Linked DNA regions of Stegostoma tigrinum. The protein of the gene in region 2 purifies or fractionates together with the protein of the main gene of each other region. This does not show direct contact. Links are inferred from orthologs where the notes say so. Each region holds a gene or a part of one and is shown on either strand. Other genes may lie near its edges.

Evidence for each region.
Region 1: the proteins of ilk (region 2) and gcn1 purify together in Homo sapiens (affinity purification with mass spectrometry; 3 studies listed by BioGRID and IntAct, with this or other methods). This does not show direct contact. The link is inferred for Stegostoma tigrinum from reciprocal best matches to the Homo sapiens genes ILK and GCN1.
Region 3: the proteins of ilk (region 2) and cct5 purify together in Homo sapiens (affinity purification with mass spectrometry; 4 studies listed by BioGRID and IntAct, with this or other methods). This does not show direct contact. The link is inferred for Stegostoma tigrinum from reciprocal best matches to the Homo sapiens genes ILK and CCT5.
Region 4: the proteins of ilk (region 2) and sdf4 purify together in Homo sapiens (affinity purification with mass spectrometry; 3 studies listed by BioGRID and IntAct, with this or other methods). This does not show direct contact. The link is inferred for Stegostoma tigrinum from reciprocal best matches to the Homo sapiens genes ILK and SDF4.

The regions. Positions count from the first base shown.
Region 1 is NC_081379.1:44,849,473-44,856,656, reverse strand, and holds the start of gcn1 (stalled ribosome sensor GCN1), read left to right. Parts: upstream 1-4,181; 5' UTR 4,182-4,231; coding exon 4,232-4,249; intron 4,250-7,184. UniProt on the Homo sapiens protein: Ribosome collision sensor that plays a key role in the RNF14-RNF25 translation quality control pathway, a pathway that takes place when a ribosome has stalled during translation, and which promotes ubiquitination and degradation of translation factors on stalled ribosomes.
Region 2 is NC_081359.1:113,379,938-113,386,844, reverse strand, and holds the start of ilk (integrin-linked protein kinase), read left to right. Parts: upstream 1-3,882; 5' UTR 3,883-3,895; coding exon 3,896-3,991; intron 3,992-6,907. UniProt on the Homo sapiens protein: Scaffold protein which mediates protein-protein interactions during a range of cellular events including focal adhesion assembly, cell adhesion and cell migration.
Region 3 is NC_081355.1:89,123,577-89,131,206, forward strand, and holds the start of cct5 (T-complex protein 1 subunit epsilon), read left to right. Parts: upstream 1-4,609; 5' UTR 4,610-4,674; coding exon 4,675-4,779; intron 4,780-7,146; coding exon 7,147-7,207; intron 7,208-7,630. UniProt on the Homo sapiens protein: Component of the chaperonin-containing T-complex (TRiC), a molecular chaperone complex that assists the folding of actin, tubulin and other proteins upon ATP hydrolysis.
Region 4 is NC_081381.1:29,565,537-29,572,516, reverse strand, and holds the start of sdf4 (45 kDa calcium-binding protein), read left to right. Parts: upstream 1-3,975; 5' UTR 3,976-4,260; coding exon 4,261-4,571; intron 4,572-6,980. UniProt on the Homo sapiens protein: May regulate calcium-dependent activities in the endoplasmic reticulum lumen or post-ER compartment. Isoform 5 may be involved in the exocytosis of zymogens by pancreatic acini.

The DNA.
Region 1 (7,184 bases), on a different chromosome or scaffold from region 2:
CAGCACAATCAGAGTTCAAACCTGGGATCGTGAATCAATACTAAATCATATGCACAGCTAACTAATGAGTACCAGAAGGGAGAAGGTGAGGGGAATTTGGTGCAGGCGTTCACTGCATTTTGTATTTCAAGTGAGTTTTGCCCTATTGATAGTTGCAGCATTTTGGACTGCATTCATCAGACAAACACAGAGTGAGGGAGCTGTCCAACAGCTCATTTCTTCTCCAGAGACTGCCCCTCATCTAGCCTTGCTGGAGAGGAGAGAGATAGTGATCAGCCTCTATTCTAAAATAAAACCCTGTGACGTGACAGACAATGAGTTAGCACAGTTAGTAGTTCTCAATTTGGTAGTATACATCACCAAACCTGTTCATTTTGAGAGATGCAACAGTTAAGTTCATGCCTCAGCTGTCTTTAGTCTCTAGCTCTTTCTCAGTTTATCAGTACTGGAGTCACATGGCTGTTATTCTCTTCCTTACAGGCAATAAAGAATGGAAGCTCCATTAACTCCTGAATGTCACTTCAGCCAAATGTCCTTTTTCCTCATCTTAATTCTGACCACATCTTTCTTCATCTCAACCTTGCTGACCTTTTAACATGCTCTGTGATTTTCCCGTTCTTCCTTAACGAATTTCAAGTTTGACATCGGACCATGATTAGATAGGTTTTATGTATGTACAACACATTGCTCTGGTTCACATTGCTGTAAATGCCACTGGAGGACAGCACCAGACAAACATCTATAGTATTTGGTGTACAGCCAGGTGTGACAGTGCCCTCTGCTGGTAGTGATTGGATTACCATTCTTACAAAGCGTTAACAAAGATGATGCAAAACAAAAATGAAAACACATATGCTAAAAATACACCGATATCAATCATTACCTGTAAACAGAAAAGACAGGCTAATGATTTGGGCTTAGTGACTTCTTCAGAATTGTAAAATAAAAGATTAATAAATACGAATAAAATAAGGATAATGTAAGTAATGATGCACTACAACGATTGGATTATCTGGTTCTCGTTCACTTCTTGTTCACTAACGGCCACATCTGATTTCATCTATTTGTGAATCCAGATTCACAGGAATGCATCTGACACTTAATTGACATCAGAAGCTATTGAGTTGTATTCAAGAAGACGACTTGCCACTATCTTCTTGACAGTAATTGTGAATGGACAATAAATGCTGACTTCACCAGAGATGCATCCATTCCATTAATTAATAAAAAGATACGAGATGAGGAGACATTCCTTAGCTCAAGTTTAATGTCCTGCCTAGCCTGTGCAGCAACCTGGGCAGTTTGCATACAAGTCAGTCCATTCAAGCTATTCTGTGTGGGCAGCTGTGCAAAATGATATAAAGGGAGCCACACATTTAAACAAAATGCATTACTCCAGAAATTAGTGTGCAAGGTTATTGAAATATAAAAATTCTCATAAACTCATTGAGTATAGTCAATACAGTCACTAACTAATTTTTGGATATTGAGAAAATCAAAGGATCTAAAGACAGTGTGGGAAGATGGAACTGTGGTTATCATTGTTTAGATATCAGTGAGTTTAAAGATTAGTCATGACCTTATTGAATGACAGAGCACATTTGTATGGTCACATGACCTACTTCAGCTCCATTACATTGTTTTATGTAAATTTTCTTTTCAGTAACACAACCATTTGTTAGTCAACGATCAAATGGAAATAGCTAAGCTTTTGAAAAATATGGAAAATGCATGTGTCTCACATAAAGCCAGCAAATGCTGGGAGCGTAAAATAGATCAGCCCTTCCCACAATGAAAAGGAATAAAGTCTACCATTGTATTCCACAGATATCATATGAGGGTCCCCTCCACATGCCTTTCAATAGTTTCCTGTACCAAGATATCATGTTCCTTCCAGCAATCTCTATCCTTAGGTTTATACATAGGAAATGTGTTTTACTTGTTCAGATCAGCTTGAGTGGCTCCTTGTTGCGTATCTCATCTGGATTCCTCTTACTCCAGCAGTTTGTAAACCCTGACTTGTGCCCTCAACTGGTCTCACAGAAACAGAGAAACAGGTCGTGTACTTTTCAACCACCACCATCCTACTCCAGCATTGAATAGCATCACTAAATCTGGAAACACAGCCCTGGCCATGAACCCAATACAATGTCTCCACTGCTGGCTGTGGTCTACTTGTCATGTTGGCTCTGCAGAATGACATGGGCTCCAAGATCAGTCATGTCAAGAACTTCAATCTTTGCTTGTGCTGCTTCCTGAACAAGGTTCATAAGCTGGAGTGCCTTAGATGAAGTAATGGACTGGTGAGCACATACAGTAGTATTATTTTACAAAGTACTTTTAAAGTGCTGATTTTCATATTTGTGTAACGGATTGAATAATGATTCATAAGTTGGTCAATACTTATATACTAACTATATATGTTTCTATACTGCTTTCTCGCTGTTTATTTTGTTACATCTGAGATCATGTTAACTTCAAGTGTTAATATAGGGTTACATAGGAAATACTTTAGTAAGTGCTGTCTTGTTCTGCATATTATCAGTGTCTCAAGCCACATTCTGAATCTACACCTATTTATAAGGTGATTCCAAGTCTGGAGCAGACTGTTCTGGTGCTGTGCACTGCCTTATGTGGTGGAGACTCTCCAACTCACATTCCAACTCAATGTCTCAGAGCTGGCGGGAGGGGGCGGGGTGGAGTTACGAGATGGAGAATTCTTTTGCAGAGAGGTTCACTTGGAACAGTCATGCTAATCAAAAAATCCCACCTACTGCAGTTCAGACATGCTCTGCCACATATTACTGTAAATCAGGCAGCTTATTGATGTTGTTTTTAGTCTGTTGCAAGTTTTGGGTTCCTTTTTGTTATTAGCTTGCACAAGTAGTGGACAAAGTGCTAAATACTTCAGGTTGCAGAAAAAAAAAGATAGTGGCGTGGCATATTGTCACTGGTTTAGTAATCCAGAGGCCCAAGCTGATGTTCTGCAGACATAAGTTGAAATGCTACGATGGCAGCTGATAGAATTTAAATTCAATTAATAAATCTGGAGTTAATAAATCTGAGTGAGTCTCAATAATGGTGCCATCAGAACTACAACTGATTATTATAAAATAACACCTGTTTCACCAATACCATAAGACCATAAGACATAGGAGTGGAAGTAAGGCCATTCAGCCCATCAAGTCCACTCCGCCATTTAAATCATGGCTGATGGGCATTTCAACACCACTTCCCTGCACTCTCCCCGTAGCCCTCGATTCCTTTTGAGATCAAGAATTTGTCGATCCCTGCCTTGAAGGCATCCAACGTCCCGGCCTCCACTGCAGTCCGTAGCAATGAATTCCAAAGGCCCACCACTCTCTGGCTGAAGAAATGTCGTCTCATTTCAGTTTTAAATTTACCCCCTCTAATTTTAAGGCTGTGCCCACGGGTCCTAGTCTCCCCGCCTAACGGAAACAACTTCCTAGCATCCACCCCTTCTAAACCATACATTATCTTGTAAGTTTCTACTAGATCTCCCCTCAACCTTCTAAACTCTAATGAGTACAATCCCAGGATCCTTAGCCGTTCATCATACGTTAAACCTACCATTCCAGGGATCATCCGTGTGAATCTCCGCTGGACACGCTCCAGGGCTAGTGTCCTGTAGTCAGGGAAATATGACATCCTTATCTGTTATCTGGTCTACTTGTTACTCCGTACACATAACGATGTGGTTGACTCTTCACTTCCCTCTGAAATGGCCCAGCAACACACTCAGTGCAAGGGCACTTAGGGATGGACAACAAATACCAGCCTGGTCAGTGATGTCCACATCCCATGGAGGTAATAAATAGAAAGAAAAGTAAGAAAAGGCAGCAGTATCTTTGTCCTCTGCACAAGTTTCACTCTCAGTCAATGCTGAACTCAGTCATCTGGTTGAGGATTGTGGGGCTGGAGGGAAAATTTCAGAGTTAGGGAGAGGTGAGGATATTGGAGCTATTTGAAAAACAATTTTGGAGGCTTTCAGAGTACTGGATTTTAAATTTATCCTGAATTCAGAATATTGGTGGAGTTAGTGGCGGCTGAGTGACGGCCTTTTGCTGGTCCTGATGCTGCTGGGGCGCAGCTGAGCTGTTGCCTAGTGACCGGGCCTCCCAGGTAACCACTCCGGCCCCGCCCCTTCCCCCCGAGGATGGATAGGTAACCCGGAAGCGGTACCCTTTCCTCTTCCGGCGTGTTGTGGAAAATGGCGACGGACACGCAGGTCTGTGCTGGCGGATTGGAGCTTGGGCTTGTGTTGGGCCTGCGTGGAATCGCAGGCAGGAGCCGGGAATCGACAGACAGCCTCCCCGGGGTGTGGGGGAGACGTTGATCTGGGAGGGGAAGTCGGGAGTGGAGTTTGAGAGATAACGGGGGCAGCGGGTGGGCACTCTCAAAACTCTGGGGGAGAGAAGAATTAGAGTGGAGGCTGTTACTCTGAGGGTGGGAGCGCGATTAGTGAGAGATCAGAGGCATCTTGTTGATCATTCGGGGTGAAGATGATCAAGTTCTTCATCTAAGGCGGTTGGTGGGGTTTCGAGGGGTGCGTTGGCGGTCACAAATGCCGAGCAGTCCTCTGAAGGTGCTGCTGCATGTAAGACCAAGGTACTACAGACAGCTGTGTTTTGGCCGAGTTGCTGGTTGGAGGTTTTTGCTCCTTGGTGTTTACTTTCTGTTTCTGGTATAATGTTGATTCGATAAGGCTGCACAGTTTAGGGCAGTAATCTTGGCTGAGCTTTTCCCAGAAGTTGAAGTCTATATCCAAATTTCTGAATGAGTGATTGTACTGTTTTCATAGAACAGTCTGGTGTGAAGTTTTTCAGCCACTCTGTCACACCAGTCTGGAGTGTTAGCCAAGACCTCATCTTCCTTTGGATGCCAAAGTATCTCTTATTCTATTTGCTATAAAAACTCTACTTGTCTATAGAAAATTTGATTTTTGCATGCATGGGTTCTGGCTACATGACCAGTGCAATTGTGAGGATGATAGGAATATGATGAACATGACTTGCTTGTATATTTGATTATTTTGAGGGAGAATTGGGCATTTTCAGCCTCTATCTCATTTGACCTAACTTCTTCGAGTGGCAGCGTAAGTCTAGATTGCTGGAGTTTAATCTCAAAGCAGTGGGGAGATTAGGACATCATCTGTATCTTGCTAAGTTGTATGTTCCACAAAACAATGCTGACCCATCTTCAAAACTATTGGACCTTTGGGCTGTTCTGCTCTGTCTGCTGTAATCCGTTGTCACATATAAGAGTCGCCACATCTTTAAGTTGCCATGAGTTGGAATCCGTAGGCTGCCCTCAGCAGTTTAATCATCCTTTTCAAGCTGTTTACTGGGGTGTGGCTGAGTTTGTATACTGAAATCTCTCCACAGGTCCAGGTGAGAACCAGCTGAAGGCAGGGACCGTTACCAGATGAATCACTTAAATGTGCAGCAAGCCAGCCTGGGAACAGAGTTGTTCCTTCTGAGCATGACTTAACAATCTAAGGTCCAACAATCCTGAAGATGTGAAGTGTGTAGACCTTGACAAGATACAGAAGATATTTGATCATCCACTGCAAATAGATGTACATCCAGATGTCCAGACAATTGTCTCTGGAACAAATAGGTCAGAGTGAAAGATTAAGTCTGATGATGCGCAATTCTTTCTCAATTTAGCCCAACTCATGCACCAAGTATATTCTCCATTCCATCAGAGATACTCAAGCTTGGGAGAGGAAAGGATGAGAGTATATATTGGGTGGGTATTGGGGACGAGGATAGCAAGGGTATACAGCTTGGAGATGTGTGAACGTGACATATAGAATCCAGGGTGAAGATCAGGAATTGTTAACCTGGGCCAGAAGACAAGTTGAGAAAAAGACAAATATGTGCAGTTGTAGCGAGTTGACGATTTGGGAGAGGTGGCAAGAGAGATCCTGAGCTTGGAGACTGTACATTGGGCTGTGTCAAGAGAACATTATACAAAGTGCAGGGGAAAGGGAATGAGCAACAAGTTGTGGTACACATAGGTGCAAATGTGATAGAAAAGGCACTTGTTTGAAGGAACATTTGTCCGATGTTCTCATGGGAAATTCACTTTGTGATTGGGAGTATTTGAACTAAACTGTCATAGCAGTAGGTACCAATGTAGAGATGCAGAAAAGAGGAAATAAATGTATAAAAGATTACATCCGTGGAATACTGTTAGTACTACACTAGCTAGGAGCATACTGAGAAAAACTGCAAGGAATATAGAACAGCTTCAGAATGGATGTGTGGTTAATGAGGTTGATGAATCACAAGCTGAAATAGCATCGTTGGATTGTAATCGGCTGGAAATAAAAATGGTGACAACTGACCACTTAATTATTAAAGGCACAATGTTCAGAAAAGATAGTGGAGGAATAAAATTGAGGTAGGTTGACATATCTTAAGGTTTGGATTAGTAATGGAGAACAAAGTTGCAATCTAAAGCACAACTTCAAAAGTAGAAGAGGACTAACTTCAGTGAGGGTGGACCTCGTATAAAATCACAAGGGGCATGGATTGGGTGAATAGTCAAAGTCTTTTCCTCAAGTTGGGGGAGTACAAAACCAGATGGCATAGGTTTCAGATGGGAGGGGAAAGATTTTAAAGGGATCTAAGTAGTAACTTTTTCACACAGAAGTTGGTGCATGTATGGAAAAGAACTGCGAGAGGAAGTGGTGGAGGCTTGTTCAATTACAACATTTTAAAAGGCATCTGATTGAGTATCTGAATAGGAAGGGTTTAAAGGGATATGGGCCAAATGCTAGCAAATGGGACTAGATTAATTTGGGACATCTGGTCAGCATGGACGAGTTGGACCAAACAATCTGTTTCCATGCTGTACAGCTCTATGACTCTGGTATGGGTAAAATGGAACCAATGACAGACGAGGAAAACTGAAATGGACCAATGGGTAATAGGGGTGCCAAAAGCTGATATGCTTTCTGAACGAAGATATTGCATATAAGGACTTTCCTAGTAGCCACAGGTCAGTCAATTTAGCACTGGGATTTTGTAAGGTTTCAGAAATAATAAGGGAAATAAATTATAAGGGTTTGAGTTTCTTGAAGTGATCCAGCATCAGTGTGTGAAATGCAGATAGTGTTCAATTTACCTAACTGGATTTTTCGATGAAGTGATAGA
Region 2 (6,907 bases):
CCTGCCTACTAACCTCATCCCGCTCCCTGGACTGACATATCCCCTCCCTAACTCCTTACTTTACCCACCTCTTTGACCTGTCTGTCTCCTCTCCACTTATCTTCTCCTCTATCTATCTTCTGTCTGCCTCCCCCATCTCCCTATTTATTTCAGAACTCCCTTCCCCTCCCCCTTTTCTGATGAAGGGTCTAGACCCGAAATGTCAGCTTTCCTGCTCCTCTGATGCTGCTTGGCCTGCTGTGTTCATCCAGCTCTACACCTTGTTATCTCAGATTCTCCAGCATCTGCAGTTCCTACTATCTTTGTGATATCCCTGGCACCAGAGAAGTTAGAACCATGCTGCTTCCCTGGTGTTCGCTGTTGTTTCCATTTCTGAAGAAGGATCACCAGACCCAAAAAGTTAACTGATTTCCCTCTCTAGATGCAGCCAGACCTGCTGAGCTTTTCCAGCAACTTCTGTTTATGTTCCTGATTTACAGCATCCACTGTTCTTTTCGTTTTTCTATTTAACCCTTGAGTCCATCACTGATTAAAGGTCTTTTTTATTGTTGATTATGCCTAATGACCTAGCCTCTAAAGCCAAGTGCATAAAGAATTCAGAGATTCGCGTTTAGATGAGAGAAGAAATTCCTTGTCATCTCTATTTTAAGTAGGTGGCGCCTTTTGTCAGATTTTGCCCTCTATATATATATTCTCCCATAGTTCCCACAGTTTAACATCTGTGTCTCATTCTGCTTTGGCTGATCTCAGAAACCACTATTCTCTGCAAAGCATCATTGTCACGGTCAGATTGTTGTTGAATTTGAGGTTAATGACTCCTCAACATCTCTTCCTCCTCAGGCACCTTGGGAAATTTGAGATGTCTGTAAGGGCCCTCAGCAACTTCTACAGATGCACCATAGAAAGTATACAATCCAGGTATTTAATGGCCTGGTATAGCAACTGTGTTGCCCAGGACCATAAGAAACTACAGAAAGTGATGCGCACACCCCAGACCATCATGGAAGGCAACATCCCATCCGTGGACTCTATTTACATGGCTCGCTGCCACAGAAAGGCTGCTAACATTATCAAAGACACTTCCCACTTGGTAATGCTATCTCCCAACTTGTTCCATTAGGCAGAAAATACAAAAGCTTGAACACATGGACCAACAGCTTCCTCCCTGCCATGGAGATGGTAAGGGACTGCAGACACTGGAAGCATGAGTAAATAAATGTGGAGCTGGAAAAGCACAGCAGGTGAGACAACATCCGAGGAGCAGGAAAGTCTGTGTTTGGTTTCTCCGATATAGAGGGGACTGCGTGGGGAGTACCGAATACAATAGATGAGGTTTGATGAAGCGAATCTGTGGCAGATTTGGAAGGATTGTTTGTGGCCTTGGACAGACTTGAGGGGGGAGGTGTTGGGGCAGGTGTAGCACCTCCTGTGGTTGCAGAGAAAGGTACCAGGTGTGGTGGAGGGGTTGGTGGGGAGTGTGGAGCTAATGAGGGAGTTGTGAGTGAGTAGTCCCTGAGGAAAGCAGACATGGTTGGGAAGAAAAACATCTTTTTTGTGATAGTGTCTGATAGTAGGTGTTGGAAATGTCGGGGGATGATGCATTGTATATGGATATTGGTGGGGTGGTATGAGAGGGCTAAGCGGGCTCTATTCTTATTGTTGTGGGGGGAGAAGGTTGAGGGCAGAAGTGAGGAAATGGAGATGCAGTGAGGACTTCCTTAATAACGGAGGAGGGGAAATTACAATCTCTAAAGTAGGAAGATATCCGGGAAGTCCGAGAGTAGAATACTTCACCCTGGGAGCCGCGATAGAGGAATTGAATATAGGATAGCATTTTGGCAGGAGGGTAGCTGAGAGGAGGTGTATTTGAGGTAATTGTTGGAGTCATTTGGGTTTGAAGTGGATGCCAGTGGAGAGTCGGTTATCTGAGATGGCGATGGAGATGGGAGGGAGATGTCAGAAATGGTCCAGGTGAGTTTGAAGGTACGCTGGAAGGTGTTGGCAGAGTTGATGTACTAATCAAGCTTGCAAGCATACAAGGCAGCACTGATAGTCATCAGTATCACAGAGAAAGAGCTGAGGGATTTAGCGGTTATGGTTGTTGAAGAGGGGCTGTTTTACGAATCTTACAAAAAGGCAAGTATAGTTCGGGTCTGAGTGGGTGCCTGTGGCCACCCCTTTGTTTTGTAGGAAGTGGGAGGAATCAAAGGAGAAGTTGTTGAGGGAAAAGACCAGTTCCACCAAGTGAATGAGTGTGTCAGTGGAGTGGAACTGGTTGGGCTTACGGGAGAGAAAGAAGCAGAGGGATTTTTGGCCATCCCTGTGTGGGATACAGGTATCCAGGGACTGAACGTCCATAATGAAGACGGTGGTGCTGGCTCGAAGGGCCGAATGGCCTGCTCCTGCACCTCTTGTCTATTGACGTGTTTAAGGCTGGAAATAGAAAGTTTTCAAATAAGTGGAAGGTGTGGGTTGTGTCCTAAATGTAGATGGGGAGTTCCTGGACCAAAGGGGAAAGAACAGATTTGAGGTTGGTGAAGGTGACCTCAATGGGGCAGGAGCAGGCAGACGGGTTTCAGGATTTGGGTAGGAGATAGAAGTGGGCAATGCAGTGTTGGAGAACTATCAGACTGGAGACTATGCACGGGAAATCTCCCGAGGTGATGAAGTTGTCGACGGTCTGGGTGATGATGGCTTGGTGATTAGAGGTAGAGTAGTGATTCCCTGGCATTGTTAGGCAGCTGAATGTATCTCTCTAATTTAAATCTAATGTTGACCTTGCTCCTCTGCAGCCATAACCTAATGCCTCGCTCTGTCTAAGCGTCCTATGATCTGTAGGAGAGAGATAATGGGAACTGCAGATGCTGGAGAATTCCAAGATAATAAAATGTGAGGCTGGATGAACACAGCAGGCCAAGCAGCATCTCAGGAGCACAAAAGCTGACGTTTCGGGCCTAGACCCTTCATCAGAGCTCTGATGAAGGGTCTAGGCCCGAAACGTCAGCTTTTGTGCTCCTGAGATGCTGCTTGGCCTGCTGTGTTCATCCAGCCTCACATTTTATTATCTATGATCTGTAGGTCCTGGTTTGCTCCGATCTGCTTGCAAATCAAAGCTTTTCACTGTACTTAGGTACATGTGACTACAATAAATCAAAATCGGGGGTCTCCTGCAGTGCCATAATGATGCCACCAGAAGGTTGCAGGAACAGCAACTCACATTCAGCTTGGGAACCCTGCAGCCCAATGGTATCAATGGGGATTTCACCAGCTTCAAAATCTCCCCTTCCCCAATGCATCCCAAAACCAGCCCAGCTTGTCCCCACCCCCCACTGCATCCCAAAAACCAGCCCAGTTCATCCCCACCTCCCTAACCTGTTCTTCCTCTCACCTATCCCCTCCTCCCACCTCAAGCTACACCTCCATTTCCCACCTACTAACCTCATCCCACCTCCTTGACCTGTCCGTCTTCCCTGGACTGACCTATCCCCTCTCTACCTCCCCACCTATACTGTCCTCTCCACCTATCTTCTTTACTCTCCATCTTCGGTCCGCCTCCCCCTCTCTCCCTATTTATTCCAGTTCCCTCTCCCCATCCCCCTCTCTGATGAAGGGTCCAGGCCCGAAACGTCAGCTTTTGTGCTCCTGAGATGCTGCTGGGCCTGCTGTGTTCATCCAGCCTCACATTTTGTTATCTTGGATTCTCCAGCATCTGCAGTTCCCAATATCTCTGATACCAATTGATGTGGATCGTCTCACCTGGGCGTGGGGGCGGGGCGTGGGGCGGAGTCGTACACCGGCGGATTGCGGTAGGCGGTTCCCGTTCCAGGGGCGTGGCCGTGCACCTTCAACGGGTATGGGGGCGGGACACCAGGAGGCGATGAAGGCGGTGATACGCATGCGCATTTCTCCAAAACGGCGGGCGGTGCCGTTACCGCTGCGCAGGCGCGGCTTCTCAAAGTTTCCTCGCTTTGGGGCGAACCTGAAAGAAACGGTGAGGATCCGGTTACCGAGGCAACGGGATTTGGGTGGAGTGCGTAACCTGGGTAACGGGGCTTGGGAGAGTGTAACCGGGGCAACGGGGTTGGGAGGGAATAACCAGAAGAACGGGGGGAGGCGGCGCCACGATTCCGAGTTTTGGCTCAGGACGGCATTGAGCCTCGGGTGGGGTGGGGCAGTTAGTTGGCACTCAGCCTGGGGGTGGGGGTGTGGGGTGAATGTGCTGGGTGGAGGGGGGTGTGGGAAACACTGATCCCTGGGGAGGGGGGTGTGGGAAACGCTGATCCCAGGGAGGGGGTGTGGGAAACACTGATCCCTGGGGAGGGGGATGTGGGAAACGCTGATCCCAGGGAGGGGGGTGTGGGAAACACTGATCCCTGGGGAGGGGGGTGTGGGAAACACTGATCCCAGGGGAGGGGGAGTGGGAAACACTGATCCCAGGGAGGGGGTGTGGGAAACACTGATCCCAGGGAGGGGGGTGTGGGAAACACTGATCCCTGGGGAGGGGGTGTGGGAAACACTGATCCCAGGGTAGGGGGGTGTGGGAAACACTGATCCCAGGGTAGGGGGGTGTGGGAAACACTGATCCCAGGGGAGGGGGTGTGGGAAACACTGATCCCAGGGAGGGGGTGTGAGAAACACTGATCCCTGGGGAGGGGGTGTGGGAAACACTGATCCCTGGGGAGGGGGGTGTGGGAAACACTGATCCCTGGGGAGGGGGGTGTGGGAAACACTGATCCCAGGGAGGGGGAGTGGGAAACACTGATCCCAGGGGAGGGGGTGTGGGAAACACTGATCCCTGGGGAGGGGGGTGTGGGAAACACTGATCCCTGGGGAGGGGGGTGTGGGAAACACTGATCCCAGGGAGGGGGTGTGGGAAACACTGATCCCTGGGGAGGGGGAGTGGGAAACACTGATCCCAGGGGAGGTGTGTTTGTGAGTGTGACGGGTGAATGTGCTGGGTGGAGGAGGGAGTGAGAAACACTGATCCCAGGGGTGGGGAGGTGGAACACTGATCGGGGATGGGGAGGCACGTGCGAGTGCGAGGGGTGAATGTGCTTGGGCGGGGGTATCAGAACACTGATTCTGGGTGTGGAGGTGTGTGCAAATGTTGGGAGTGAATGTGCCTGGGGGTATGGAATGGATTGTCAAATTCCTGAAATGGAGGTATGAGAGGACACTGATCTTCAGTTGTGGGTGTGGGCACTATACCTCAGGAGATATCAGGTGCACGGAGCCTGAGTGTGGGGAAGTTTAGGGTAAAGTCGGGTGTCTGAAGGAGCACTGAAGCAGGGATTGGGGGTTTGACAGCATCCAGCCTGCGAGTTGGGCGAGGTGGGGGGTAGGCACTGAGCCTTGCCAGGCTAGATGAATGATTCAGAGTGTGAGGGCCATTGAACCTGAGGGGGTGGGGGTACTGAGCCTTGGAGTAGTTGGGCTGAAGAGGCACTGAGCTTCGGAGGTATGGGGATATTTATTGGATTGGGCTTTCTCTGGTTTCCTTGATAGTGATGTAGTCCATTGTTTATGTTTTATAAGTATTTTCATTGATTGAGGTCTTTGTGTTTTTGCCATTAAACTTTAATCGGTATGAAATTTCTGCTAAAATTCAAAACAGCGCACCATTTTTGTTCCTTTATATGCATTTATTGTCCATCTGTAATAGCCACAGAGATGGTATTGATCTGCCTTCTTGTATTGCTATAGTCCTTGGGGTCTGGGACCACTCACGATGCTGTTTGGAACGCAGTATTTTGAACCTGTGACAGTGAAGGAATGGTGATACAGTACCAATTCAGAATGATGTGTGCAAAGGAAGTCTTAACAATGTACTTAGGAAAGTATAACTCAGTTATATCGAGTCAGTATGCTTCTGTGAAAGGGGAAATCCTGTTTGACAAATTGATCAGTTTTTTGATGCTGTGACGTAAATAAAAGGGAATCTGAATTTTGCTGAAAAGAAAGATATGTTGTTCATTCTCTTGTCTTGTTTGCTTTGCTCTTAGTAGAGAGGATCGTTTTCTCTCTTTCAAACCTTAATTTACAATCAATTTAAATCTCTCTCCATCATGAGCAACTTTTTTACACTGGGATTCTGCCTCTGTCAACAGCATAAAGAAGGATATTTTCCAACTCTTTTCAGAACTGAAGAAGTCATACTAGACTCGAAGCTTTAACTGTTTGCCCACAGATTCTGCCCAGCCTGTTGAGTTTCTTCAGTTTCTGTTTCTGTTTTCTGCAGTATTTTGCATAATATAGTTTTGCATTATATAATATTTTGTCTGATCTTTTCGCTTTGCTCTCAGGCCAAACACAAGGACAAGTTTTAAACAATGGTAACAATATATATGAACAAAAATGTGCTGACAATATACTGCACTGCCTATATTTGTACTAAAGCTGTCCTGTACTCACTGAGGCTCCCCAAATGCCTGGGTTGGACAACAGATCAATTGTTTTATACAGAAATAGTAGGAACTGCAGATGCTGGAGAATCTGAGATAACAAGGTGTAGAGCTGGATGAACACAGCAGGCCGAGCAGCATCAGAGGAGCGGGAAGGCTGATGTAGCGGACCTAGACCCTTCTTCAGAAAACTCGTTTTATACTGCTGTTTTACAGTGGCCATGCAAGTTGTATGTTCCATTAAAGGTTGCTACCATCAGATAAGTTTGAAATCTTCCACGTAATTCAGCAATGTCATGTATCCCAGGCACATAAGCCATATTCCTCAGGAATTTTGATTGTTTCATTCAGTGTCTTTTTGGGAAGGAAATTGCTGTATTTACCAGGTCAGGCCTATGTCTGGCTCCAGACCAATAATGTGGCTGATTCTTTGCTACCAAGGGCATTAAATGCAGTAAGGCTGACATTTCAAGCCTAGGGCCTTCTTCAGAAAAAGGACCTTTCTG
Region 3 (7,630 bases), on a different chromosome or scaffold from region 2:
AGGGAGGCTATGTTGCAGCTGTATAGGGTCCTGGTGAGGCCACACCTGGAGAACTGTTTGCAGTTTTGGTCTTCTTACTTGAGATGTACTAGGGGGTACAGAGGAGATTCACTTGGTTGATTCCAGAGTTGAGAGGGTTGGATTATGAGGAGAGACTGAGTAGGCTGGGATTATACTAATTGGAATTCAGAAGAATGAGAGGAGATCTTATAGAAACATAAGATAATGAAAGGAATAGATAAAGTGGAGCCAGGGAGGTTGTTTCCGCTAACAGGTAGAACTAGGACTAGAGGCATCGCCTCAAAATAAAGGGAAGCAGATGTAGGACTGAGGTCACGAAGAACTTCTTCACCCAAATGGTTGCCAATCTGTGGAATTCCCTGCTCAGCGAAGTGGTTGAAGCTACCTCGTTGAATGTTTTTAAAGCAAGGCTAGATAAATTTTTGAACAGTAAAGGAATTAAGGGTTATGGTGAGTGGGCGGGTAAATGGAACTAAGTCTCAAAGATCAGCCATGATCTTATTAAATGGCAGGGCAGGCTCAAAGGGCCAAATGGCCTACTCCTAGTTCTTATGTTAAGTTCTTCTAGCAACTAAAGCAGAATCTTGACTAAAACCTACTCCTAACATTGTAACAGGTTGATTTAATAATTCAAGAGAAACATTTACTTTGGGTAAAATATTCTTATCTATGTAAAGAATTGCAGCAGTACATTCCATCCCAGCAAGTAAACTTGATTAAACAGTCTTGCTATTGTTCCACTTGCCGAGACTACATTAAGAAAACATTGTTCTAAGGCTCTCTATCTATTATCACGGACATTCTGCTGTACAGTCAGTCAGGGGCAGTTAGTGACCATTTTGTGCCACTCTGTTATGGACATCCCTAACAGCTGACCACCTAGGACAAGCTACAGATGTTTGGGAACTCCAGCCCCTGCAAGTTACACATTATCCTGACTTGAAACTATCACCATTCCTTCATTTTTCACAGCAAAACCCAGAAATCTGCTTTCCACAGCTCAAGGATTAGTGGTAGAAGCAAATTGCTCACTAGTACCTTTCCCAGGGCAATTAGGGGTGAGCAATAAATATTGGTGTAGCCAGCAATGCCCACTTCCCATGAACAAATTTAAAAATGAAACTTATAACTGTTGATGTTCATAAAGACTTGGGCATACTTGTATAAAGAATGCAGAAAATTAATACGATGTCACAGAAAACAATTAGGGAAGTAAACGGCCTGCTAAACTTTATTACAGGTGCATTAGAATACAACATAGACATCTTGGACAGACCACATCTGGAGTACCGTGTATAGTTTTGGTCTCCATATTTAAGGATATGCTTTTCTTTGGATATGTTAGTGACAGTTCACCAGATTGGTGTCTAATATGAGCAGATTGACCTTTTAAGGCTGAATAAATTGGGTCCACATATAAATTAGGATATTCTCTTATTGAAATGTATAGAATTCTAATGGGACTGAAATAGTTCATACTTTAAGGTGCCATGGTGGCTCAGTGGTTAGCACTGCTGCCTTATTTGAGGGCTGGGGTGGACAAAATTTTGATCCTACAGGGAATTAAGGGTCATAGGGAGCAATGGGAAAACAGTGAAGGCCAAAGATTAGCCACTATCATCTTAAATGAATGGAATATTTTCAACAGGCTAAATGGTCTATTCCTGCTCGTATTTGTAGTCTGACAGCATTCTGAAAAGATCACTATGTCAAACACCCTTGGCTCAATCACCTCAAACACTCTTCCACTCTTTCCACAGCATTTATCCACACAAATGCAGAAGAAGCAACAGAAGATTATCTCCCTCATTCTTAGTATCCAAGATATCAAGCATTACTTCCAGGTAAAACAGCGATTTATTTGCACTTTAGAGAAATTGCATTCACTGCTAATGAATTGGTCTCCACTAAATGGGGAGAAAAATACAGATGGGTGACTGCTTTGCAGAACACATAATTAAGTTTGCAAAAATAGCCTCAAGCTTCCAGTAGGCTGTCATTTTAAATTTTTGACTTGGCTCCCAGTCTGAATGGGTATTCTAGTGGAGCTTAAGGCAAGCTTGTGGAATAGCATTTCACAGCTTTCTCGACAAATCACAAAGATCAACAATTTGAATGGGTGCGACAGGCCCCATTTTGTTTGATGCCTTCTTTGATGAATTTTCTTTTTCATCTTGTTTTGCATACTTTCGTTCTGCGTTCAGACAGCAGGTATTCAAGATCTCATCTTACACACTCTGTCTTCAGAAATTAAGCACAAATCCAACTGCAAAAATAGCAAATGCTGAAAGTCTTCCGTGACCCACAGGAGATGTAGGTAGTGTTTATTTGTGCTGCCTCGTTTTGCTTTTTTGCATCAGCCTAGGCAAAACGATTGGTGCCATCCCACAAAACTGAGTCAAATGGTTACACAGTACATCTCAAGGTTCCATTTTTGCACAGTTTAAGCAAAACTGGCAGCCTAGATATTCCAATGGTCAGATAATCATTTTTGCAGTAGATACGAGTTGTGCACAGGGACATAATCCCCATCATAGAATACTCCAAGCAGACTGTCGAAGAAATTGAAATTTTGTCGTGCAATTCCCCTATCTGGAACCCTCTGAAAGTATCTATTTAAAGTTTTTGAGAAGATATGTAGCTCAGGTTGCCAGTAATCTGAGGCATATAAAATAACAAGTAGGACAGAACACCAACATTTCACTGGAGGTGCTCTGACAATGTTACCTAGCAAGGTAACGAAACATCTACAATCAAACACACTGGTTTGGCAAACAAGTCTTCAACCTCAGTATCTATTTAAATCATTGAATTTGGAGGGTGTCACTGCAATTAAGTAAAAGGTTACTCAAGAAAAGTTAGACTATTAAATACCTAACTCCTGAATAACTGTTTAGCTGAGCCCGAACTTACTGCATACACTCAATTACAATTCACCCAGATCTCAAACTCCCCAGGACCCTGACCAAGGCACTCGCCTCCATCCAGAACACCGTGCTCTGTCCCTGACTCCTCACTCCCCCAACACAGACTTCCTACAAACTTGACACCTTTCTCCAGCCTTTGGACCAAACTCATTCCTCCATTTGGGAACCCATTCCCCAGCACATGGACCTGGCACACATGTTCCTGCTCTGGACCCAACTGTAACTCCTGACACACAACCACTCTTGACATCACTCCACCCCCTTACCATTTGCCAGAGGTGAACGCCTTACGGCCCTGTGTAGTCTCTTTGTCTCATTACCCAACTTCACATACTCCCCCAGCACAACCACAACAACACATCATCCCCCGCCCCACCTCCTGCCAAAACTGTTTTCTCCCCTTGCTACCTTGAGCCCTAGTACCTTATAGGCACCATTTACTCCTTTCACAGGAGCTGGCAAAGTGACTGTGATCTAAACTGCTGTTAAGAAAAGCAGATCTTAGAATCATAGAATCCCCAGTATGCAAAGAGGCCATAAGAATCTGCACCAAACTTCTGAAATGAATCCTATCCAAACTCAGCTCCTTACACGCCACTCTGCAATTACTAAGGCTAAGCCACTTGGCCTGCATATCCCAACACACCAAAGGATAATTTAGAGATAGTAAGAACTGCCAATCAGAGATAACACAGTGTGGTGCTGGAAGAACACAGCATGCCAGGCAGCATCAGAGAACCCAATTTATTCAGCCTCAAAGGTCAATCTGCTCATTTAGGACACCAATCTGGTGAACTGTCACTGTAACATATCCAAAGAAAAGCATATCCTTAAATATGGAAAGCAAAACTACACACAGTACTCCAGATGTGGTCTCCAAAAAAGTCTTCAATCCACCTAACTTGCCTATCTTTGCACTGTGGGAGAAAACTGGAGCACCTGGCGGAAGCCCTTGCAAACATGGGGAGAACATGCAAACTATGCAGTTACCAAAGTCTGGCATTGAGTCTCTGGCGCCGTAAGGAAGCAGCAACACCAAGCCACCCTAACTGTCTTTTCTATTTTCCGATAAACCGGCTCAAAGATGTCAAAACACACCTCTAATGCAGGTTCTCCTGGGTCGGAGGCGCAGGCACTACCACTGCCCCGCTGTACTACACTGGAAGTACAGATTCGTATTTCTGAAGGAGCCCTGATCAGGAATCTCCAGCAGAAATGCAGGGCCGGGTCGTTTTTTTTAAAGAGTTAGAGAGGCAATGTATTTGTGATATATACTCCTCAGAAAATCCAGCCCAGACAGCCCGAACCAAACAAAGAGGGGGAAAAAAACCAGTAAACGCGACCACCACCAACACCTCCACCCGCCTCCTCCCCGGCGGCAATTCCTAATCTCGCGAGAACCAGCAGGACCTCTGATCAAACTATTATTATCCCATCCCCACACAACATTTCACTGGACTTTTTTAACACAGACCTGGAATTATTAGACATACGATTACATTTTAAATTCTATTCGTTAAGAATAGAAACAAACAGCAGTCAAAATTGTTAGTGTTGACCCATTTATCAGTGTACGTCCACACCCTCCCCCCCATGGTGAGTGGTGCGGTCTGTTAGACGGTTCCAGAAGCCGGTTCTCGAGCCCCTTCCCCCCCCCGCCGCCAAGAACCTGCTGGGCGGAGACTGAGCTGGGAGTGAGCGGGTTTGATCCGGTCAGCTCGCAAACATGTCCACTTTGGGGACTCTCGCCTTCGATGAATATGGACGACCCTTCATCATCGTCAAGGATCAGGAAACCAAATCTCGGTTAACTGGGCTGGAGGCTCTGAAGGTAACGGCACAAGCAGAGGCCCGGGCTTGTTAGCTGCTACCCACATGTGGTGTCGCGGCCTAGAGCGCCGGCGGCCTGTACTTGATCAGAAATCTAATCTCTCGGTGTCTAGTGCAACCATACGATGCGACTCGGACCCCCGATCTCCTTTGATCGGAGGCTCGGAGTGAAGTGACTGATTTCGGAGCGTCGATTTAAGCGCATTTTATTTTTTAAATACCATATCATGGCATTGTGATAGTGTGGAGCCGACACTCGGCAAGCAACGACCAAAAGATGGGAGTTTGACTCCCAGTGTGTTAACGTTAATTGTTGTATTGCCATCTCGTCCTGACTGATATTGTCCATTTTATAGAAAAATTTCCTCCGGAGGATTTAAAACAAAACCTCGCCGATTCACAAGACTTTGTTCTAAACCCATTTAACATTTCATCTCCTGATGCAGTTATGTTTCGAGTATCCTAAAATAGTTGAGAAGGTGGGACTTCACACTTGGGCAGCCATCTGGGATACATCGCGTTGTAGTTGTCATCCTTATTCCAGCACGTTTGATCAAAAACTAAATCTGGATGAAAATATGAATGAAAAGTTTGTTTACGATCCTGTGAAAGGGAAACAACAGCCCGCCAAAAATGTAGTTTCATTGCAATATGAATCCATTCTCTAAAAAACTGACTTAATTCGACATTAGTTTCTAAGACGTATGACATTTGGCTCTCCAGTTCACTTAGCTGCACCTCGATTTCACTTGGTTTGGTTTGCTAAATCTCTCTTTGTGAATAAATCCATCGGCAAGCGATTTTTATTGGGGAGTGATTAAACTGGGAATAAATTTATGAATTGACTGCTTGAATGTATTAATTAAACCATTTACTTTGCTGCTTTCTTGGATATACTGACTTTTGTCGGAAGCCCTATCTAATTCTCATTCTAATTTTGCCTTAAATAACTGTTATTCTTATAAGCCTAACATTGATTATCGACACAAAAACAAAGTTGCTGGAAAAGCTCAACAGATCTGGCAGTGTCTGTGAAGAGAAAAATCAGAGTTAACGTTTTGGGTCCTCTGACCCTTCTTCAGAACTGGAGGGAGAGTCACTGGACTAGAAACGTTAACTCTGATTTTTCTCTTCACTGCTGCCAGACGTGCTGAGCTTGTCCAGCAACTTCTGTTTTTGTTCCTGATTTACAGCATTTGCAGTTCTTTTGGTTTTTATTAAGATGAGAAGCTTTCCTTCAAAGAGTAGTAATCTATAGAATTTTTTGCCACAGACGGCTGTTGAGACTGGGGTGGGGGGGTGTCATTAAGTATGTTTGATAGATTTTTAATCATTTAGATAATTGAGGGTTATTGGGAAAAGTTGGAATGTGGATTTGGGAATCAGTCATGATTTCATTGAATGGCAGAAGAGGCTTGATGGCTGAATAGCCTACACTTCTGCTCCTACATCTTGTGGTCTAATTGGAAATGCTGAGTAATTGCAAATGGAAGCCTTGGTTGATGTCTTTGGCCCTTGTTAGCCCAGGAGTACCAAGTGAAATTATAGGATAAGAACTTAATTAAGCTGTCTCAACAGGGTCCTCCTAATCGCCTGGTAATTGCATATGGTGTATATTCACCCACAATTGTATCAAAGAGGCTGTTTCTCATGTTTAGATTTTGTTCATTGAGCACTTAATACTGAAAACATTTTTCATTATTATTGTGAATGTACACCTAAAAGGAGAAAAACGACATTTATTAGCACCTGTCATGCTCACAAATGTCCCTCAGTGTTTTACAGCTAGTGAATTTAATTGGAGTGCAGTCTCAAATTTTTCTTGACTCCCACTCCGAAGGAAATAGTAAACATATAACATTGACACACACATTTGGATGATGGAGAGATATAAAGACAAGATGGGAGGAGGTATTTGAAGTGAAAGAGACTTCTGGGGTACAAACACGAATAGACCAATGAACCACATGGTCAATTTCTGGGCTTTAGATCCAAGTACGCCACTAAGTGTCATTTTGGCAATGGCATTTAATTATACTTGTATAATAAAGTCAAAATGTAGGAGATACATTTTAGCAGAATCTTGATTCTTAATAACAGGTCTACCTTGCACATGAACACTTTCTGTTTTTGATATTCTGACACAGATTTTCCAGTTGGTATTTTTGAATGTCAGCACTAGCATCTATAAAATAAGCAATTACCAATTTAGAAATCTAGACAGTCTGTCATGTTGATTCAATGAATAGTTAAAAATAAATGCTATTTGCTTTTAAGTACAGGAAGGCTTAGAGTTCTTTCAAAAAGACTAGACTTCTGACATTTGAGTTTTTGAAGTAAAATTCTAATGTTTTTGCTTTCATTACAGTCGCATATTATGGCAGCAAAAGCAGTGTCCAATACGTTGAGGACTTCCCTTGGACCAAAGGGTAAGATCACCACTTTAGAGTTTTAGGTAGATCTCAGTTTTGAAGTACTGAAGAATGTGAAGCGAATAAGCTTCTCTTAGATTAATTCACACTTGCTTACTTGTGAATATACAGATTAGGAGTGCAAGTTGGCCGTTTCATCCCACGAGGCTGCTCCACCATTCAGTGAGATCTCTATTGATCTGTCAGTGTTTTGAACTCCACATTTCCAGTTATCTTCTAAACTTTGATTAACAACCTTTGCCTAACAAGAATTTTGGTCATTTATTAGGCTGAATGTGTTATCAAGGAGCCCAATAAAAATTCAAGTTCATGAGAACTAGGGAAAATATTCTTTTTTGATTGAAGTCATTCCCGACATAATAGGAGATGTGTGGGTTGTTGGAGGTCTGTTATCTCAGCAGTAAGACACCTCTGCAGGGA
Region 4 (6,980 bases), on a different chromosome or scaffold from region 2:
TTGCAATCCTAATTCATTTGGCTTGCCTCCTTGATATTAAAACATCATTTTATTGCATGCAGTTATTAAAATGTATCCCATGGTGACCATGCAGGTGAGAAGCCCAAATAAATTCACTTCTGTTCCCCATCATTTTTATTTGGTTATCAATGACTTATCTTCCACAAATTTTTTCCTGTATTGGTTTGGAGAAATAGAACTTCTCCATCTATCCTGTATAATCAATGAGAGATTGATGCTACGATACCAGTTGATGTTACAAGTAAACAAGTCATATCTCTGACAGAACCCTGGCTTGGTGGATCATGCTGTGATTTGTTTTTGTTTTCATGAAGTGGTCCCTTGCTGAACATAGGCACACAATGCTGCAGATTTTTACTTTAACGATGAAAAGAAGTTTATTAGTCAAAGAAATGAGCATAAAACAGGATAAACTAAACCATCTGTTATAATACCAATTCAAAGATTTTTAAACATACAGTGCAAGTATAATCCAACTAGTAATGGCATTGATACAAATAATGGACATTTCCAAGGTTTGAATTACTGTCTACTTATCTGCATTACGCAGCAAATCATCAACCTGCTTGGGTGTGAAAACAACTTCCATAAAATTCTCTGCTTCCAGGAGATTAATATTGAAAATGACACAATTCTAATTTCAATGTTCAGTTTAATCTGCTCTGCTAGATGGCAGATTGAGGAGCACTGCTCCTGAGATTGCAGGCTTATTTCCAGATTTACTTCTAGATTTCTTCAGTTACTTTAAGTACATGAATAAGAAATCTTTGGAGGTATATGGCGTAGTCCTGCTCCTATTTCTTTATGTGCATATTTAAAAAATGGGAGGGAAGCATGTAGAGTCAGAATTTCTTATTAGATGTTTGATGTCACCTGACACTTCATATCACAGACTCCATCTTAGAACAGGCCACTTGAAGTGTGGCACACCAATGAAAGCATACAGCTTTTTGTTACCAAATAACTTGATGTTTGCCCAGATATGGATGTGCCCATGAATGCAATATCTGTATAGTCTGCTGTAACAAACATCTCAGTGATTGTTTCAATAACACATTAGCCCTATGTAGTCTTGTGTTATGAGGGATAACAAACATTGCCATCTCATGTAAAGAAGGCTGAAGGCAAAAAGCCCATCATTAGGATACCCTGTTGCAAATCACTACAATTCAGGACATTTAAGTGGTGAGGTAATTTAGGTAAAAGACAGGTAGTAAAAGGACAGAACAGTGCAATTAGAGTGCCTCCAATGATCAGGTTTGTGATCTGGAAGAAAAATACATTACAACAGCAAATCTAATGGGTTAGTATTAGTCATTTTGGTGTGTCATAGCTGCCTCAACAGGTTAGGTGGTGTGTCAACCCCTGAAATGATCTAAGTATCTACTGTTTTTACAGATGTTGACTCCAGTGCCTTATTTCTGCTAGTGGGGTCGAGGAGGGGACAATGAACCTCCCTTATGAGTTGGGAAAATTGTTATGCCCTTCAACATGTGCATCCCTTCAATCTCTATTTTTTAAAAAATGACTGAACTAATACAGTTACTTTTTGTTCAATATGACAGTGAAAAGTTTTCATTTGTCACCGTTATCTGGCATCATTTTGAATAAATTAGTAAGGATTAAAGTGCAAGCCCAAACAACATCGGAATCACCTGTCTTGGTGCTGGGCCTACCTCCAATGGCGCTGTGATGCCCATCTGCTGCTGCTTCATCACTGCCAGCATGAGACCCAAGCAGTGACAAGGTTGCTGATCCTCAGGTGCAATGTCTCACCCATAAGCCTGCCTCTGGTGATGTAACCACCACCGATTCTGATGCCAGGTCCTGTGCTCACCCTGGAAAGGTAAGGACTCATTCAGGGTCAACACTGGGCCCAATCAATGTCTGCCTGGTACCTATCAAGGTCTGCTTACCTGGCCTGTTCAGGGTCTGCGGTGGGCTCTCGCTGCTAACGCTGACCGAGCTCAGGACTAGAGGTAAGAAAAGATATACGGCGGGGGGGGGGGGGGAGAAAAAGAGAAGAAAAGAAAGAAAAGTGATCGGAGCAATGAGCTCCTGTTCAGGAGCTCTACTCCTGTGCCATCTTCTTCAATTCTGTCAATAACTCAGAATCTGACTCCCATTAAGAGTGATAGAGGTGTATATCACAAACAGACTCTGGTCCAATTCATCTATGCTGACCAGATCCTAAATAAATCTTGTACCATTTTCCAGTATTTTGCCAATATCGTTCTAAACCTTTCCTATTCATATAGCTATCCAGTTGCCTTTTAAATGTTGTAATTGTACCAGCCTCCTCCACTTCCTCTGGCAGCTCATTTTGTACATGCACCACGCTTTGTGTGAAAATGTTGCACCTTGGGTCCCTTTTGAATCTTTCCCCTCTCACCTTATTCCTATGCCCTGTGGAAAAGACCTTGGCTATTTACCTTATCTATACCCCTCATGATTTTACAAATTTCTATAGTATCACACCTCTGCTTCTGACACTCCAGGGAAAATAGTCCTAACCTATTCAGCTTCTCCATGTTGCTCAAACCATCCAATCCTAGCAATGTCCTTGCAAATCTTTATGAACCCTTTCTAGTTTTGCAACATCCTTGCTATTAGCAGGGAGACCAGAATTGCAAAGAGTATTCCCAAAAAAATGGCCGAGCCAATGTCCTGTATAGCTGCAACATGACCTCACAACTTCTATACGCAATGCACTGACCAAAAAAAAGCAAGCATACCAAACACCACCTTCACTATCCGATCTACCTGTGACTCCACTTTCAAGGAACTATGAAGTTGCACTCTTTGTTCAGCAACACTCCCCAGAACCTTACCATTAAGTGTATAAGTCCAGCCCTGATTTGCCTTTCCAAAATGATTCTTTTTAAACTTGCATCATTTTGGGATTATCCCTTATTTCTAATCTGTATGCATGTGTATTGCTTTACTAGTTGTTGGTAATTAATAAATTTGCTCTTTGACTCAAGAAAGCCTAGTTTAGTTTGCACCTTTTGAAGCATGAGTTCATTTGGGTCTGAGAGAAGGGTATTCACCAGGAAAGGGATCCATTTTTAAAGTGACCTTGTTATAACTAAACAATGGAAAAGTGGATGCAGGTGAATAAAGGGAGCCAGTTCATCTCATCTCACGTCACCCAGACGCTCAACAATTCGGGGCATGCTATCTGGAACCATAACAAATTAAGGAATCCCACGAGCAATGGGAGCATCAGCCACACACCAGTCAGACATGGGAACTATATTGCCGTTCTTACCCTGTGCTGTGTTAAAATTCCGCAAGTCACTAACAGCATTGAGTGTGATCTTAACAACCCTCGGAGTTTCTAAAGAACACTGCTGGCCACCACTTTGTCCAAGAGTGAAGGGATAGGCAATAAAATGTTCCTCTAAAATAATGCAAAAAAAAGGGGGAATCCGGAGATCTGAAACAAAAACAGAAATTGCTGGAAAAAACTCAACCAGTCTGGCAGTATCTGTAGAGAGAAAGCAAAGTTAACATTTTGAGTCTAGTCATTCTACCATACCCTAGCCAGCGACATTCCACATCCCACGAATAAGTGAGTTAAAATACTTGGAGGGTTTTAGCACTAAGGGCGATAAATGAAGCGAACTCTTGTTGGTGCAGTGATAATGGGAACTGCAGATGCTGGAGAATCCAAGATAACAAAGTGTGAAGCTGGATGAACACAGCAGGCCAAGCAGTATCTAGGGAGCACAAAAGCTGACGTTTCGGGCCTAGACCCTTCATCCTCCGTCTAGGCCCGAAACGTCAGCTTTTGCGCTCCCTAGATGCTGCTGGGCCTGCTGTGTTCATCCAGCTTCGCTGATATCTTGTTGGTGCATCCTCCTCCAACCGAAGTGTGGCATAGATGCAAGCGTGTAAAGTCAGTCCTCCAGGCTAGGGGGAGTCGGAGAGGGCATTGTCGATCGGGACCAGTGCTTCCTCCTTCTTGGGCTGGAGCCGGGTTTTTTTTGTGGCTTGCGGATTGCAGGTTCGATGCTCCGCTGCCGTGAGTGAGGTCCATTGTGGTTTCCGGCTGTAGAGAACGCCGTAACAGCCTCTCACGGTAGCCCCTTCTCCACCCCGGTGGGTGACAGGAAGATATCACCTCCCGGCTGTAGGGGAAGGTGAGGAGGGGGATGTGACAGGCACCCGAGGCTGACGCAGTCGGTGGATCAGCGCGGGGAGGGTTTTGGGTTTTCGGGCCCGGTGGCTCGGACCATGGCCTCGGGGAAGTCGGTGCTGTGCGGCGTCGCCAGCCTTTACCTGAGCGGCTTCTGTATCTTTCTGATGGTCGATGTCTACGCTCGGCCGACCAACAACTCAGCCGTCAAGCGGGAGAAGTCGGGCGCCAAGCTGGACGACAACGAGATCCAGCCCCCGAACCACCTGAGCGGGCTTAAACTGGAGAAGGGGGGTGTCCTGAACAAGGATTTCCACCAGGAGGTCTTCCTGGGCAAGGAGATGGATGAGTTTGAGGCGGACTCCGAGCCCGTCAGAAACCGAAAGAAGCTCATTGCCATTTTTGAAAAGTGAGTACTGTCGTCAGCATTTTCTCGGATGGGAGACAGGGCAGGATTTATACACTCAATAGTAAGGTCCTGGGGAGTTGTTAGTCAACAAAGAGACCTTGGAGTGCAGGTTCGTAGTTCCTTGAATGTGAAGTTGCAGGTAGACAGAATAGTGTTCGCAGTTTGGGGCTGGGCCCAGATCTTTTAAAATGACAGTCATTCAGAAAATCTAGTCTCAGTGCTTAATCCTACCCTAGTTGATAATGTTCTAAAACCAGGATAAGTTTTTGTTTAGTAATTGAGTGTGGCTGGTATTTATGCTTGGCACTGATTTCTTGAACCAAGATTAGGAAAGTCACTTGAGAATGTGACACTTATTATTCTTGAATGCACGATTCTAGTATTTGCTTTTTTAAAAAATTCCACCGTGGCTTTTGTTCACGTCTAACACCACACCCTTGGAAATGTGAGCACTTATGATTATGGTATCATCACTCTCAATTTTAAGTGCTCTGTGGTAGTTGCACCTTCAGTTGCCTAGGCCCAAAGTTTTTGTAAACCCTTTCATACACCTGTCTGTCTCTCTGTCTGTCTCTCTGTCTGTCTCTCTGTCTGTCTCTCTGTCTGTCTCTCTGTCTGTCTCTCTGTCTGTCTCTCTGTCTGTCTCTCTGTCTGTCTGTCTCTCTGTCTGTCTCTCTCTGTCCGATGTCCTCAAAACGTTCCTTTTTTGGGTCCTTTAACAAAATCTACTTTTTTGTGCTTTGGTGTAATACTTTTGTTTCAGAACATTCTAAGATGCTTTGCAGAAACATTATATCAGGTTAAAGGTGCTACATAAATATGTTGTTGCTCAATATGCTGAGAATTTCGAGTTAAGTGTCCTCTAGTTTTTTAAACTTGTTCCTAATCTCGATGTGGATCACATTCTGTCTGTACTGTTTACACTGTGTTAATAATTGTACGGTTATCACTACAGCATTTAGTGAGTATATGATGAGCATGAGGTTAGTACATAGAAACAATTTTGTTGTTTTATACATCGTGCAGTTAAGAGTTATACAGTGGCATTCCAAATGGCCTTTGAGTAGATGGTGATGATGTCCCTTTTTGTTGTTGTTGTGCAGTGCCTGTTCGCTTTATTTTGATAACCTTCAATCCTTTGTTTGCACAGCCATGCAAGTTAAACCTAAAGGAGTTGACTTGTGCACAATTTATTTGACTTCTGCATTGCTACACGGTTGTGCATCCCAGAGAGAGCATTGGTGGTGAGCTGTCACTTGAACTGCTACGATGTGTTGATATTCTCCAGTCCTCAAAGGAATTCTTGTATTTTAGTGACAGTAAAGTTCCAAAGCAGAATGATGGGTGACTTGGTGGGAAGCTTTGGAGCTGGTGGTGATTCCATGTATCTGCTGCCCTTGTTCTTGACATGATGCTAGGGACAGATTTGGTAGATACTGTCAAAGGAGCATTGGTAAGAAGTTGTAATTAATGCTGCATCATTATAGAAAATACTCCCTCAAGCCAGAGTGCTGCCGGAGGAATGAATTAAGTTGATGAATGAGGTGATGGGCTACTTCTTATTCTAGGAGTGTTAACCACCTTGATTGTTGTTGCTGCCCTCATTCAGGCAAGTGGGAGGGATTTAACACACTCTTGACTTGTGCCTTGCCGATGGTGGATAGACTCTGGGGAGTTGAGAGGTGAGTTACTCAGCAAATAATTCCCAGATCTGACATGTTCTTGTATCTACAGATTTAATACAATTGGGTGAGTTAGGTTTTAGTCACTGCTGACTCCCAATACATTGGTGGACGGTTCAACGATAGTAATGCCATTGAAGGTCAAGCAGGGCTAGACACATGCTTATCGTTGCTTGGCACTTGTGTGTCATGCATGTTACTCGCCACTTATCTACCACAGCATGAAGGTTATCCGTATCTTCCTGCATCCAGGCCCATTATCTGAGCTGTTCCAACTGGTGCTGAACATTGTGAAACATTGGTTGAAGCAGCTGGAAATGGACTGTACAATTAAATTACTTTTTAACGCTAAGATAGAGAAACAAAGACTTATTTGAAAACTGGACATTGAGCCAAGGAAGAAAATATTTTGAGGCTGTTACAAAATATTTCTTGGTAGAAGTGAACGTGAGTTTAAAAGAGGCAGGAAGATTTTAGAGAGGGCATGGCCACCACAGATGCATGGAACAAATGAAGGTGTGGAGTCTGGAATCACAGGAATAAGTAATTTGGTATAGGGTTGTTTGGCAGGTAAATGGCTTCACTCTTCTCCATAAAGAACTATGAAAGTGAAAATTTAAGGTGTTGAACAAGCAAGATTCGTATCCGTGAAGGAGTGGACCTTTTGTGTAGGATCTGAAACGCAGCAAGTAATTGATTAATTGAAGTTTATGGAGGTTGGAAGGTA